Caenorhabditis elegans: one gene and its partners. The protein of the gene in region 3 interacts with the protein of the main gene of each other region in a pairwise test. Each region holds a gene or a part of one and is shown on either strand. Other genes may lie near its edges.

Evidence for each region. The genes of interacting proteins can lie anywhere in the genome.
Region 1: the proteins of cul-3 (region 3) and agns-1 interact in a two-hybrid assay, tested with the Caenorhabditis elegans proteins (one large-scale study listed by BioGRID).
Region 2: the proteins of cul-3 (region 3) and bath-15 interact in a two-hybrid assay, tested with the Caenorhabditis elegans proteins (one large-scale study listed by BioGRID).

The regions. Positions count from the first base shown.
Region 1 is NC_003281.10:10,480,277-10,484,459, forward strand, and holds agns-1 (BTB domain-containing protein), read left to right. Parts: upstream 1-2,011; 5' UTR 2,012-2,074; coding exon 2,075-2,191; intron 2,192-2,640; coding exon 2,641-2,904; intron 2,905-2,954; coding exon 2,955-3,078; intron 3,079-3,283; coding exon 3,284-3,360; intron 3,361-3,437; coding exon 3,438-3,572; 3' UTR 3,573-3,667; downstream 3,668-4,183. Other genes in the region: D2045.7 (non-specific serine/threonine protein kinase), read left to right, coding at 110-271, 335-616, 1,155-1,276, 1,676-1,868.
Region 2 is NC_003281.10:7,774,161-7,777,648, forward strand, and holds bath-15 (BTB domain-containing protein), read right to left. Parts: upstream 1,874-3,488; 5' UTR 1,855-1,873; coding exon 1,742-1,854; intron 1,700-1,741; coding exon 1,318-1,699; intron 1,267-1,317; coding exon 1,119-1,266; intron 1,074-1,118; coding exon 922-1,073; intron 867-921; coding exon 720-866; 3' UTR 517-719; downstream 1-516. Other genes in the region: Homeobox protein mab-5, read right to left, coding at 3,109-3,231. UniProt on the Caenorhabditis elegans protein: Probable substrate-specific adapter of an E3 ubiquitin-protein ligase complex which mediates the ubiquitination and subsequent proteasomal degradation of target proteins.
Region 3 is NC_003283.11:175,947-183,599, reverse strand, and holds the start of cul-3 (Cullin-3), read right to left. Parts: upstream 6,022-7,653; 5' UTR 5,957-6,021; coding exon 5,900-5,956; intron 5,131-5,899; coding exon 4,214-5,130; intron 3,409-4,213; coding exon 2,772-3,408; intron 2,118-2,771; coding exon 1,739-2,117; intron 1-1,738. UniProt on the Caenorhabditis elegans protein: Probable core component of multiple cullin-RING-based BCB (BTB-CUL3-BTB) E3 ubiquitin-protein ligase complexes which mediate the ubiquitination and subsequent proteasomal degradation of target proteins.

The DNA.
Region 1 (4,183 bases), on a different chromosome or scaffold from region 3:
TTTACAGAATATTATAGATTTTTCAGGAAATTATAGATTTTTACAAAATTATCAATTAAAAAATATTGGGTTCACAGATTTACACCTAAAATTTATCGACTTTTTTCAGATCGATTTGTACAAAAAGCTGGAAAACAATGAATTTGTAATCGATCTTATGGCCCATATTGTGGATGATATCACCCATTATCTCCTATTTGATAAGTACTCGCAAAACTTTTTGGAATATATTGAAGAGTTGAAGATTGGCGGAGAGGTTGATGAGCTTAAGGTGAGGTTGTAAGAAATTGGAAATTTATTGATTTTTCCAATGAAAAATTATATATTTTTCCAGCACCTGAAATATTTTTCCGGAATTGTGTCAGCTATCGAGCAACTGCATGGCTTTGAATTTGCTCATTTGGACATTAAGCCCGCCAATATTCTGAAATCCGGCGACACTATAAAGATGATTGATTTCGGATCAGCTACAAAAATGCCGATCGAAATCAAAACTTCTGCAGATCATCACAGGCATAAGGAGGATGCCGAGGAGTTGTGTAGTATGATGTATAGGGCTCCGGAGCTTTTTAACTGTGAAATTGGCTCAACTCTGACGACTGCTGTCGATGTTTGGGTGAGCTTTTTTGAAGTATTATAGGCAGTTGGTAAGACAGGCAAGCGGTAGGCACGTGAGAAGGTAGACATGTAGGTAGGCAGGCCTAAGATAGGTAGGTAGGCACGTAGAATGTTAATAAGCAGACAGGCATGCCGTTGGCGGGCTGGCTTGAGGTAGGTAGGCATAAGTCATGTAGACGGTTCATAGGCAGGCAGGCTAAAGAAGAATTTTAAAAGACAATCAGGCTAAACGTAGGTACGGCAGGCATGTAGGCACGTAGGCACATAGGCACGTAGGCACGTAGGCAGGTAGGCACGTAGGCACGTAGGCACGTAGGCACGTAGGCACGTAGGCACATAGGCACGTAGGCACGTAGGCACGTAGGCACGTAGGCACGTAGGCACGTAGGCACGTAGGCACGTAGGCACGTAGGCACGTAGGCACGTAGGCACGTAGGCACGTAGGCACGTAGGCACGTAGGCACGTAGGCACGCAGGCAGGCGGAATTCTTATTTTTCTATAATTTTTATTATGCGATAATGTAAATCATTTCCAGGCTCTCGGCGTGTGCCTCTACGAGTTCCTGTACCTGGAGAACCCGTTCAACAAGATTTACGAACAAGGTGGCAGTATTGCACTGGCGACACAAAGTCCGCATATGATCAAGTGGAATGAGAAGTGAGATTTTTGAATTACCGTCCAACTTTTCGAAATTTTTTCTTAATTCTGATGATAATTTCAAATTTTTTGTGTTGCAAAAACAGTGATAATTAGCCCACGCGTTGCCTTATCTTTGTTTGAGATTAAATTGTAATTTGTAAACTTTGACATGTAAATTGTCACGTTTTTCCCATAATGCTCTAACTGGACAGTCACGAGGTTTTTGTAATGTTAATGAAGACGGAAAACGAGAAAAAGTGCGTGGGAGTGTATTCAATTTTGAACTTCTGAGTTTCAAAAAATCCAGAAAATTTGTTTTCAAATTGTTGGCATTTTCTAATCAATTCGCGAAAATTTTATTTTTTTAGAGTAATCTTTAAAACTCTCGGCAAAAATTCTTAAAACCCCAATTTCCAGCCGACACATCAGCGAAAAATCGATAAATCTCATCAAATCCATCCTAATCGTCGATCCCAACCAGCGACCAACAATTGGAGAACTTCGAGCGAAAGTTGACAATCTTCTGGCGAACTTCGACACCCCAGAAGAAGCCGAAAATCCAGAAATAACCGACGAAGAGTTTGATTTGGGCATGCGAGAGACGACGTGACAGTTTCGTGGCGGGACCCTGAAAACTTTTTCAAAACATTTTCTGTGAATACTTGAAACATTCCAATCTATGCATACTTATTTCACTTTTTCTCTGTCACCTCTTTTCTCTTATCACTGAAAAATAAACATACAGCTTCTTATCAATTATCACCATTTTTGACCGAAAAAAAAATTAATAAAATATTTTCCAAAATTCGTACTGTCATGGAGCCCTCGACTATTGTAAAATTGGATGTTGGCGGCAAAATTTTCAAGACGACAATTTTCACATTGTGCAAGCATGATTCAATGCTTAAAACTATGTTTTGTACGGATGTGCCGGTAAATTTTTTAAATTGTTTTTTTTTCAGATAAGGTTTACAATTTTTTGTAGGATGAACTTGATTAAAAAACGTTTATTTTGAGGAAAATAAATAGAATACACTTTATCGTTTTTTCCAGTTTTTACAGAATTTCTAAATTAAAAAAAAATATTCCGAGCACATTTTTTAAAAAGAAAATTGTTTACGAAACTATGAAAACAACAAAAAAACCCAAACTTGTTCGGGAAAAATATCATGTGTGCAAAATTTTCATTTTCGGAATCAATGCACCATGTTTGAAAAAACGCAGAATTTTACAGAAAATACACATTTCATATGAATTTTTGTTAAAACAATTTTTTCAATTTCGAGGAAAAACATTAATTTTCAAATCAATTTCGAAATTTTCAAATTATTTTCCAAGTGGATTACAGAACCGAGTTTATCTATAGATGATCCCATTTGCAGGTGACAAAAAACGAGGAAGGAAGTGTATTCATAGATCGAGATTCCAAACATTTCCGACTAATTTTGAATTTCCTCCGAGACGGTCAAATAGCCCTACCGGATTCCGATCGTGAAGTTCGAGAAGTTCTTGCAGAAGCCAGTTATTTTCTATTAGACCCACTGATTGAGCTATGCGGGGAACGATTGGAACAGTCACTCAATCCCTATTATCATCTGGTTTCAACAGTGTTAGAAGCCAGAAAGATCATTTTTGCAACCGAAAAGGTTTGCCCATTTGCCTGCCTACCTACGTGCCTATTTTGCATGTTTTTCAGCCAATTGTGGTGTTGAGATTGCCGGTATACATTGCCACGAGTGGAAATCAAAGCTATTATTTCAGCGAGACAAAGTTTCGAGAATTGTCTGAGGAATACCACAAACACGTGGCTTTTATCTTAAGTGAGTTGAGTTTTTTAAATTTGCATGTTGCTGCGGAATTTTATCGAAAAACTATTTTTAAAAACTGTAGTACTTTTCAGAATTTTGAGCACAACAATCTGAAAATATAGAAAAACCCATAAAAATAGTTTGAGCAAACCGCGGAAATCGGTCAAAAAATGAATATTTAGCTATCTTCAAGACACCTATATTTCAAAATTTTTAGTAACCGAGCCGGAGTTCAACGAGGATTGCTCATGGAGCTTCTTCCTTCGCGCCAAGAAAATCACCGCAAGAATAAAGGTAAGCCTTTCAAATGCATCAGGAAATAGGCAATGAAGGCAGGTATATTTTTTAAGCCAAAAATTTTCTTAATTCAGGGTCCAATGGACTGTAATCTAGTGGAAGAGTGCATGCAAAAACTGTTGAAAGACGCCGAGAAAAGAAGACGTGGCACTAAATCGTTTTTCAACGAAATTCCTATGGAACTCGTGGAGCACGAAGAGCTGCATTGAAATCAACGGAAACTCGATAAATTCTAGATTTTTGTATATTTATTTATTTTGTAAAAATAAATATTGTTGTACATGTTTTTAAAAAATGTGCAAAAACATGCCTGAAATCTGATTCAACTGAAAACTTAAGGCAGTTACTGAAATTTTGTTATTAAATTCAGAAAGAGCATAAAATTTGCAACAATTCCCCGAAGAAAAATTTTGAAAAAAATTTATTTGAAGTCAGATATCAATTTTTAAAGTTATAAAAACTAAGTAAATATGACAATAAATAATCGAAAAAAAATGTGCAAAAAATGTTTAAAAAATTGAATTTAAATTTATGTATATTTATTAAAATGATTAAAGTTATTAAAATGGTTAAAATGATTAAAATGATTAAAATTTATTTAAATTAAAAATTAAAATTTAAGAAAACTAAAAACCTCTCCTACTTGCCAGTTCATTATTTGCAATATTATTTCTCCCTCTCCCTTTTTCTAGAAAAAACGGGGGAAAGTGTTCACAATTAGCGATTGACCTCGAAATGATAATAGTAGTTTTCCGTGAGGGAGTGTCCACTCGAATGTTGTTTTTTCGTCCGTCGGCATCTCCTCTTCACATCTCCTGTA
Region 2 (3,488 bases), on a different chromosome or scaffold from region 3:
GTCTGCAGTTGCATCTTCTTTGAGCATTTTTCCCTATTTCAGAAAACTGTTGGCCAGGCTGTTCCGTGAAATCGTAATGAAACCATAAATTAAGCATTGATATCCATCCGAAATTGACCATATTGTAGCCAGACATGCGAATAACAATTAGAAACTATTTTTACATGCACAGAGCGTTAATAACCGAAAAGAATATAAAAAATAATTTTTTTTTTCTAACTTTCGAGTGTAATTGTTGACAATTTTTGTATCAGCGCGTTCAGTTTTTCATTAAAAATTCCCAAAATGATGCAACAAACAGTTTTTTTCCTGCTTAACATTTGATACCTAAAATGAAAACGTAAAAACACCGTTTCGAAGAGAAATTCAAGTCACAAAAAACCATCATTTTTTTCAGTGCAAAATAATTCATGAAAATAACAAAAATGCAAGTGCGCGCTAATGCAAATTTCCATCGGAGGAGACTGTGCCATTGACCAACTCAGTCAATTTCAATCTTCTAAAACGCATAAAGTTTTTTTATTATGTTTTTACTCCGGAAAATAAGACCAATGTTCAAATATTTGAGCAATATTGACTCCTTAATAAACCTGGTTGACGAATTTTTAAAGATGAGTAAAAGAAAAATACATATATTTTCACAGAGATATTTAGTTAGTACCAGCGAATCAAAGACTAAATCACAATAATATATTAGCGCTAAAACAGGAAAAAAATGATTATACTGAATCAGAAATCGCAGATCGATGAAGAGCCGTGGATTTTTTGAGGAGAGTCGCCAGCACAATCGGGTCCATTTCTTCCGGATTATAAGCCATTGCAGCTTCAATCTCATCGATCGTGTTGATTTTCGAGATACAAACGGTCTGAAAATCAAAATTTATTTTAGTTTTCAGGAATTTTCAAAAAATAAAATTTTACTTTTAAATTCTCCAGCTGATATTGGTTAGCCATTTTTAACAGCTCTCTCATCGATTTCATCGACTTTTCGATCAAAAACTCCTCGCATTTTCGAATTGCCAAGGTAACATCGAGCATGTGGGCAAGTAGAAGAACTCCATCGATGGTACCATCTGAAAATTTAATTATTTTAATTTAAAATCAATTCAATATCTAACCATCAATCGCAGGTTCTCCATATAGAACCTCCAAAAGGCTCTGAAAATCGGTCGGATCGATGTTTTGGAGTGTAACCTCTGATTGATCGGCTTCTTTGAATTTTCCAAGAAAAAGTGCATTGAAATATGAAGAATGAGACGCCAGGAACTGAAAAATATTGAATATTGAATGGAAAATTCGATTGTAAAAAAAACCTACTAGTTTCAAAACATAAAACTTCTCGTCTCCAACTACAAGGATCACATCGGAAAATCTTTTTTCTGATTCATCGAAGCTTCTGAGCACATCTTTCGAGAATCCTGTCATTTTTGTGATCTTCACACATGCTTCAATAGTAAAACTATTATCGTATAGAAAATCTTCTGTCAATGAGTCCCAACTGACAAAATCATTCCATCCCAGTCCAAATCCATCGAAACATCCCTTTTGGAATTTCATTGCATAACTTCCTGATGATGAAGCTATTTTTAAGCTGAATTCGGCGTCGACTGTCCAGGCGACGTTGTCATCTTTCTCATTGTCACAGTGTAGGTACGCTTCCAGTTGATCTTTCGTGCGAATAACCAATATAAACCTGAAACTAAAGATATTTTATGTAATCTATGACTTGGATAAGACTTACCATTCCGCATTGTAATGAATTTCTTCGGGGCTTTTAAAAAAATCGCCATCTTCCAATTGTGAAACATCCTTGAAAGTGTGATGAAACACGAATTCCTTGCTTGCGGCGACCATTTTGAAGAGTTTGCTGAAATTAAACATTTTTAAAACTCAAAAAGTCGAAAAAATCAAATAATTTTTAAATTAAAAGTCATTTGTCCGCTAGAAAAACGATAACTTTGCAAAGTTTGACGAAAAAAAAAAGATTACAAAAAATCTAATGTGCGTAAATTAGAATGCATTATGTTCATTGCGTACTCTCTCATCTACCGTAGTTCGCTGACTATTTGTTCGAAATGCAGCATTTATACTATTTACCATCGATAGATCCTTCTAAAACGCATAAAGTATTTAATTATGTTTCTACTTCGGAAAATAATGCCAATGTTCAAATATTTGAGCAATATTGACTCCTTAATAAAAAAAGGAGTCAATATTGCTCAAATATTTGAACTTGCAAAAGTATATACAAATATTTGAACTTGCAAAAGAATAAACCTGGTTGACGAATTTTTAAAGATGAGTAACAAAAAATACATTTATTTTCACAGAGATATTTAGTTAGTACCAGTGAATCAATGACTAAATTTTAAAAAAATTAAAAAAGCTAATCAACTTTCCGAGAAATTGGACATCTCAAACCTGCAGTTTCTTTGCGAGGTACTGTAGAAAAGATATTTTCAGGTTTATATAATTATTTCTAAAGTTTCAAGTGTTACTAAGGTATTATTTGGAGGCAATCAATGAAGCTTTACTACCAATCATCCAGTACATATTCACACTTTGTGGCCCAGTTTTACAGATTCTTATGTTCATTAGAAATCGACGATATAATTTTTTAGTGTGACGTAACTCAGTTCACTTTTTTATAACTACATGGTATATCAACAATCTTCTTTTGCATCTGGCACAGTGAAATATGTGTCGTTTCACAAATGTCCTTCAATTTGTGAGGTCCTCTGTGAAACATAATGACAGATCAATTTCATCTCCAAAAATCAAAGCAAACAGATATGTTACTGTAGAAAAATTTTCAAGAAAAAAAAATCAAAAAATAGGCTAGCAGTGTGTAAAAAACAATTTTCGAGACAAAGGTTGAGATCATCAAATCCCAAAGAAGCAAAGGAAGAAATTGAGAAATAATCAATAAAAACAAAGACCCGTCGAAAGGGCGTGGAATCCTTTCAGGTCGTTTAAAAGCAATATATCACCGATGAAGAATGCAAAAAATCAAAGGAAAATGACAAAAATGGGAGCAAAACAATGAAAAGCGACCGGAAACGAGGTAAAAAGAAATTCAAATTAGATTCTGACCAAAAAAAGTGAAAATCAAGAAGAATGTTGTTCATTTTGCTCATCTTGATTTGATTCTTCATCTGATTCATTGCTTCCACCTTCTCCTTTTGCCTCTTTTTTGTGTTTCATACGACGATTTTGGAACCAGATTTTTACCTGCAAAAAGTTAATTGTATCTATTAAATACTTATTTATTAAAACAAAACAGATTATTCACGTGGTGTCAGGCTGTCTCATTGCGGTTTGATCTACGAAAAATGCGGGAATATTTTCCCAGAAAAATTGTGACGTCAGCACAGTCTTAACCATGCGAAATCAGATCAGATGTCTGCGTCACTTCTCCCGCATTTTTTCGAAGATCAAAGCAAAATGGGACTTTTTGACTCCACGTGATTATTCTACTTTGCTTTTTT
Region 3 (7,653 bases):
ATGAAACAGTTCAAAAACGTGAAAAAGGCAAATTTTACTAGGGAATGGTGTTACCCCTGCAATCGCTAGGAGGACAAAACAAAGTGAAAATGGAAGATCAGATCTATGGCTACAAGAATCAGTTTTTGGAATCTGCTTAACTCGGTCCCAAAGCTGAAATTTTCGGTCTTAAAAAGTAGTCCTTTTTTTGCTCAAAATGCCGTTTTTCGTGTGTAGAAGTGGCTACATAAAAGTTTGGCACTGCAGCCGCCGTTCGAATGGCCGATTGGTGAACTCTTGTGCTCATTAATCTAAAGGTCACGGGTTCGTTCCCCACTAGGTATTAATTTTTTTTTGAATTTTTCCTCTAGCATGAAATATGCACAAAAACACGGTTTCTTCCGTTTTTTGGTAACTTCGGAATAAATTTTTTGGTTCCTGGGAATCATAAAAGTAATTTGGAAACTTTTTGGAAGTTTTCTTTTTTTGATAAATTTTCACTTTTCTCCCACCTGATGTATGCACATTTTTTTCTTCAAAAATAATTTTTCAAAATTTTTTCAAAAAGTGTTTGGTTTGAAAGAGCAGCATTAGTTTGGATATTTCTACGATTTTGGAGGATCAAATGTCATTTTTAGGAGAAAACCACTGTTGTTTTCTCTAGACTTTTTCACGAAAAGGACCTACTTTCAAAGACTTCCAGCTCCGTTGACGAGTAAAATAAAAAAGAGTTGTCAACTGCAAAGTTATTTTAAAAGTACCAATAAACAAATTGTCAGTTGAAGTTACTCTGCTAAATTTTATGGGTAGAGAGATATGGACATTAGTAATTAAGTAAGTTAAAGCTTCACTTCGATTAGCTATATCTCTCTACCCATAAAATTTAGCAGAGTAACTTCAACTGACAATTTGTTCATTGGTACTTTTGAAATAACTTTGCAGTTGACAACTCTTTTTTATTTTACTCGTCAACGGAGCTGGAAGTCTTTGAAAGTAGGTCCTTTTCGTGAAAAAGTCTAGAGAAAACAACAGTGGTTTTCTCCTAAAAATGACATTTGATCCTCCAAAATCGTAGAAATATCCAAACTAATGCTGCTCTTTCAAACCAAACACTTTTTGAAAAAATTTTGAAAAATTATTTTTGAAGAAAAAAATGTGCATACATCAGGTGGGAGAAAAGTGAAAATTTATCAAAAAAAGAAAACTTCCAAAAAGTTTCCAAATTACTTTTATGATTCCCAGGAACCAAAAAATTTATTCCGAAGTTACCAAAAAACGGAAGAAACCGTGTTTTTGTGCATATTTCATGCTAGAGGAAAAATTCAAAAAAAAATTAATACCTAGTGGGGAACGAACCCGTGACCTTTAGATTAATGAGCACAAGAGTTCACCAATCGGCCATTCGAACGGCGGCTGCAGTGCCAAACTTTTATGTAGCCACTTCTACACACGAAAAACGGCATTTTGAGCAAAAAAAGGACTACTTTTTAAGACCGAAAATTTCAGCTTTGGGACCGAGTTAAGCAGATTCCAAAAACTGATTCTTGTAGCCATAGATCTGATCTTCCATTTTCACTTTGTTTGTCCTCCTAGCGATTGCAGGGGTAACACCATTCCCTAGTTAGCAAAAAAAACCCAACTTTGCCAACTTTCCCATGTCCCATGGGAAAGTTGGCTGCAGCGATTGGAAATTGATTTTTTTTTCAAATTATCAATTTTTTTCAAAAAAATTCGAAAAACTATAATTTCCTTTTCATACCTATCGCATCTTTTCCCTTATTCTTTCTGACCAAAATCCGCTGCGACGCTTTTCCGAGAGCCAGCGACTGCAAATTCCTCTTCAACTCTCGCTCGGGAATCTTAAGCTCATCCATCAGCTGCTGACATGAGATCCGATTGTGATGGTTGAACTGAAGGAGAATGATCATCTGATGCGTATTGACCTGGAGAATCTTGTGCTCCGGTTTTCGTTCTTTCATCGACTCTCCACTGCTCGACGGTCCAGGACCATTTTCCTCGTTTGACATGGATGCTTTTGGTGGTGGATAGAATGTGGCTTTGACGTCAGCGTTTCCGAGAAGTGTGTTGATTGTCAGCTTACGGCCAGTGTGCTTTTCAGTGTAGTATTGTGTGAACATCTGAAAAACGAGGGGAAATTGAAGAAATTCCAAAAATCTTTGTGAAAAAATATTTTTTTAAAAATTGCCCTGGTTTTATATTTTAGCTTGAAAGCACGTTTAATCGCACCCAATAATATTTTTAAACTCGCGCCAGAGATATTCTCATTGGAGCGCACCGTGTTGTGTCGATTTACGGAGATTTCAGTTTTTCCACAAAAATGAAACATACTTATTGAAAAATTGAAATTGGCCTGAAAATTTCATGAGAAATCTCGTAAATCGACACAAGTGTGGCGGTCCAATGAGAATGTCTCTGGTGCGCGTGTGAAAAGCGATTTCAAGCAAAAATAATAGATATTCGGAATCTTTTTTGGCTTTTCTGGCAGAAAAATGGATTTCTAGGTATTTGGTCAGAAAAACTAGAAGAAACGTTTTTTTTTTGAATTCATCTCATCGCGACTGGAAATTAAATTTTGAAAAAAAAACATACTTGTTGTTTTTTGATTGGAAAAACCGAAAAAAATATATATTGTCTCTAAAATGCACATTTTTCTGTATAAAAAATCCATCTTTTGGCAAAAAACGACAACCCTGCGTGTAAGCAGACATTTTTGCGGGTTTTGTGAAACATCAAGCTCAAAAATTGCAAAACCAATTGAAAATTCGAATTACCTCATAGGCAACCGACAACTCTTGCGGCAACACAACCGGATTACACTGAACCGTCGGCCAAACGCCCGCCGTCAAAACTCTAAGCGATATGTCAATGCTCATTTTGGTCGGCTGAGCCTCTCGCCAGTCTCTGAAGCTTGTGGCCAGTGTCAGCCAAAGCTCCTTGTCTCTGAACATATTCTCAAGCTTCTGAGTAAACTGGCAACCACACTCTGTCTTCAGCTTTGCCAGCAGAGCCTTCTCCACATCGTCGGAGCACGATTTGTCGAGCAAGAGACGTTTGGCGAGGTATTGCTTGAAATACTTCTCGAATACATCCTTCTCCTGTAGATAGCGGAACAAGATCATCACATTGTCGAGCTTATTGTCCATTTCGGCGTCCGACACACATTTCAGACCGCTTCGCAGCATATCGTCCATGTAGAGGGCCACAAATTCCGGCGATTGGCGATTCGAGTTGAGGAACGTCTCGAAATCATGCTGGAAGCGATTCTTAAAGTCACGATCGTCGGCAAACGCAGTGGTGAGCAGACTGGAGAAGTAGTCTTTGAGCTGGAGCAATTCGTTGACAAAATTGACGGGGTTTTTGAGCAGATCCTCATTTTTCACAATGTTCGAGCCGGTTTCGTTGAGATATCTGGAAAAAAAAGTTAACTTTTCTTGCTGAGCAACCCCCAATTCTGCTCTAGTTTTCTGAATGCTCCGTGTTCAACTGTTAGGGTTGGTGTTATCTAAAAACTAAAACCACCAACAGCTGAGGCGTTTTAAGGAGAAGCGGCGGTGTTCGACGTAATGGACAACAGAACAAATAAACAGATTGCTGCGGGCGAGTGACACGGGTTTAGGTCAGAAAAGTAGAGTTTGATAAATAAAAATACAGTAAATTGGCTGGAATTTAAATTTCTTGAAGCGAAAACGTGGCCGCGAAACCTCTACTAACACGGCCATGTGTAGATTTACGCGACTCGTGTACTCCACGTGGATTATTTTTTACGGTTTCTGGCTGAAATGCTTGCATTGGTGGTGTTTTACCATTAAAATTAGAAATAATTTGAACGATTAAGCATTTTAGCTAAACACTGTAAAATCCTCTTCAAAAAAAGTGCCAAAGTAAAGTCTAGATTTAACCATCAAATACATAAATTTTCGAGGAGCACAAAAGCTGGTTAAACCGACACATGGAGCCATTTTGGGTGAAATTTTCAATTTTTTACAAAATAAAATCATTGAAATCTCCGCATTAAAGCAAAAACCCGTAATTTCTGGGGTAAAAAAACAAAATTTCCCCTCGAAGAGTACACAGGCTTCGTAAATCGACAGATAACCATGCTAGTGCCTTTTTGTGGTGAAAATTGTTCAAATTTTAATTTTACAACGTTCCTCCCACGGCTGTAATCACCAAATAATTCAATTTCTAAAAAAAAATCGCGCGAAAAACTCACTCGCTAACCGCCTTAAGCAGCGCCTTCAATCCACCACCCGGTACTGTCACCGAATCTCCGATACGTTTGAAAATACGGAAAATGCGAGTCAAATCCTCAATCTTCTTGTGCTCCAACATAAACTTCACACCACCATTCTGCATGTAGACAATCGTCTGAATATGCTCAGCAACCATCACATCATCCATCACCTGCAGGATTTTGGCCTCTGTCATTTTGTCAAGATATCTCGACGCTCGGCTCGCCTCGTCGTGCATCGCAATCTCCACCTGTGCCAGATAGAAGCACGCGTCATTGTCGCCAGAAAGCCAATTCTTGCACACATCCCGATAGTAATCACTAGTCTCCTTCAGAAGTGGCCTCTCAAATTCGTCCTCATAAACCGTCCGGCTATCGATTCCTAGCGAGATGAGCATATCACACGCGTTTTTTATTCCGTGCCAATTGATTTGATTCGATTTTCGATCCAATTTGATAAGCTCCAGAAGAGCATCGCGAATTCGGTCGCCAATCCCGTTTTGCCGCAGAATTTCCGTCCGATACGCGTCGAGACCCAGATTATAGACCGGCAGGACGTGATTATTCTGTGCCACGTAGATCCGATCCATATACATCAGAATATCACGAATCATGACCATGGCGACAGTGTGATCAGCCCACGATTCGGCGACAGTCTCCAGGAAGCTTCCAGAATTCATTGATTCGATAATTCGAATTCGAACCGACGCCATATGATCCTGAATCACGTCTTTCAGGCCATTATAGAGACGTTCTCCGTGCTTGTGGAGCACCATTGTATATGCGTTGCGGTAGAGCTCCTCGAAACTCAAGCCCGAATTGTTTTTGCGTTGGATTTCCTGTATGGCACGCTTCAAAAGTTCCCATGTCTGTGTCACATATTGCTCGTCTATTGTGGCCTGAAAAAAAATCATTTTTCTCCGTTTTTTTTTTGCGGCTTTTCTAAATTTTGGGCATTTTCCTTAAATGACCAAAAACTGGCCCGACTATTAAAAAATTTCCAAAATTTCATTATAAGAATTCAAAATTTTCGGAAAAGCGCCAAAATTTGCTAAACTCAGGGATTTTCCAGCTAGAAAAGTTTACGAAATATCAGATTTTAGCAAAATTTGGCAAAAATTTTGGAACTTTTTTGGGATGAAATTCGGTAAATTTCGATCAAAAATGCGTTTTTTTTTCGTGAAAAAAACGCGAAAAACTCTTATGTGAGGTCATTTTTGCGAGAACATTGCCGTTTATAACAAATTTCATGTTTCTAATGGCTAGTCCAAGCAAATAGGAAAAAAAATAGAAAATCGATAAAAAACGGCGGAAATACGATTTTACAGTTTTTCTCTTCGTTTTTTCCTGGTTAAACGGTCAAAAACAATTATTGACCATTAGAAATCCCTCAGAATCGATTTTGTTATATGAAAAAAAAATATTTTGCTTTTGTTCTTTAGAAATGACGAGTTTTGGCACGTGGCACGCAAACTGAAAATGATTGCCACGTGGCATACAGTTGCCAGTGGAAAAATATCAGTTTCTCATCAGAAATTGACGGATTGTTCGGATATCGCGGATAATTCGGCCGTAACATTCCAAGTTTCGTTTTAAAAAAATCGATTTTTCACGCAAAACAAGGAGACAGGCTTGATAGAGGACTAAAATCTGTGTGTGTAAACCTACCATAAATGGGCGAATTCTCATTTTTTGTTGTCCACCATTACCGGAGCGTCCGCTCATCTCCAAAAATGAGTCGATTCCGAACGAACTGGTCAAGTCAGAATCTCGCTCGTTTTTCGTGCACACTGAAATAAACTTGATTTTCCGTTCTCGAAAAGCAAAAAATTTGAAAAAATCGTACTGCGGAATGTTATTATTGCAGAAAAAGCGCGCACTGATAACAGAAAAAACAAAACTAACTATTTTCAGCTTCAAAGTTGAGAAGTCGCGAGTAATTCGAAATAAATCGATTTTGCTTTGTTTTTTTTTCGAAAAAACTTTGAAAATCCGGTAATTAGAATGTCACGCAAAAATAAATAGCTGGATATCAACTTAATTACTCGGAAAAATCAATATCATTATCTCGAAAGTCACTGGAATTTTAATTTCGCGCGTTTTTCCAGAACTTTTTGCCTATTTTCCGGCTCAATCAATCAATATTTCACTTCGAATCAAGTCTAAAACACCTTTAAAAGCTTCAATTTCGAAAAAAACTATGAAAAATGCGAGAAAAATCGAACGGGAACAGTGTGTTTTGGAGTTCAGAAGTGCACCGAGACTGCGTCAATGCGGGTTTGCTGGCGCGCTCCTCGTGCGTTGGCGCTTTTCTCGTGAGGAAGCTTTAAAAATTAATTTTCAACCAGAATTTTAGAATTTTCAGAGAAAATTGGCGGTGTCCACGTGGAAAAATAAATAGTGTTTTCGGTAGAATAAACTTTAAATTTATTTAAAAGTACAAAATTTGTGGAAAGCCCTCGAAAATCGGTTGAAAACGATCTAAAATGATTAAATTTACTTAATAAATTAACAATATTCGCTGTTTCAAATTAATAGAAAGTCGCAAAATAAATATTTTTATTTGAAAATAAGATGATGTTGAAATTGGAAATTTGAGAAAAAACAAGAATTTTAAAAAAATCAGAAAAATAAATAAAATTATAATTAGCCGAGTCGAAGTTGACGTTGAGAAGAGGAAGTTGAGTGATCTGAAAAAAGAAACAGTTTAATAAACGAAAACGAGTTTTAATACTTCAGGAAGGAGTACAGAAATATACAACATTTCCTATTCAAGCGGAAAACGGAAATTATGGGGTGTTTAGGGTGGCGGAAGAAGCTGGGATCAAATCATTCATACAGTTCAACTACAATGATTCGAGTCATGGCTTCCTGGATCTTATTACTTTTTATTCTGAATTTTTTAATTTCCTGTAAGTTTTGCCAAAAGCTAGGATTTTTTGAAGGCGTAAAAATCGTGTTTTGCCATAAATCTGAGTAATCTTACAATTAGTAAGCTGAGCGTAATTGTTCAAAAAATGGTATAATTTTTCACAATTTTTCTCAATTTTGCACCAATAATTCAAAAATGGTCAATTTATTATTTCGAAATTTCTGCGTTTTAGGCTTTAGGCTAAGAGAAAATCCAATAAATATTGCAGGAATACGCAAAAAATAGAATTCATTCGCGCAGGAATTCAAAATTAATGTGGTCATTTCTAATTTTTTTTGCGAAATTTAAAAATAATAGCAATTATATACAGATTTTTTTCACTGTTTTCTCTTTTTTTGCAATTAAAGTCAGGGCTACCGTACTCCTGGTGGCTCGTGTTCTTCACCGTGTATATTACGGTAACGCAAAATTCTGAGAATGCGTATTGCGCAGCAAATTTGACGCGCAAAATATCTCGTAGCGAAAACTACAGTAATTTTTTTAAAAATTG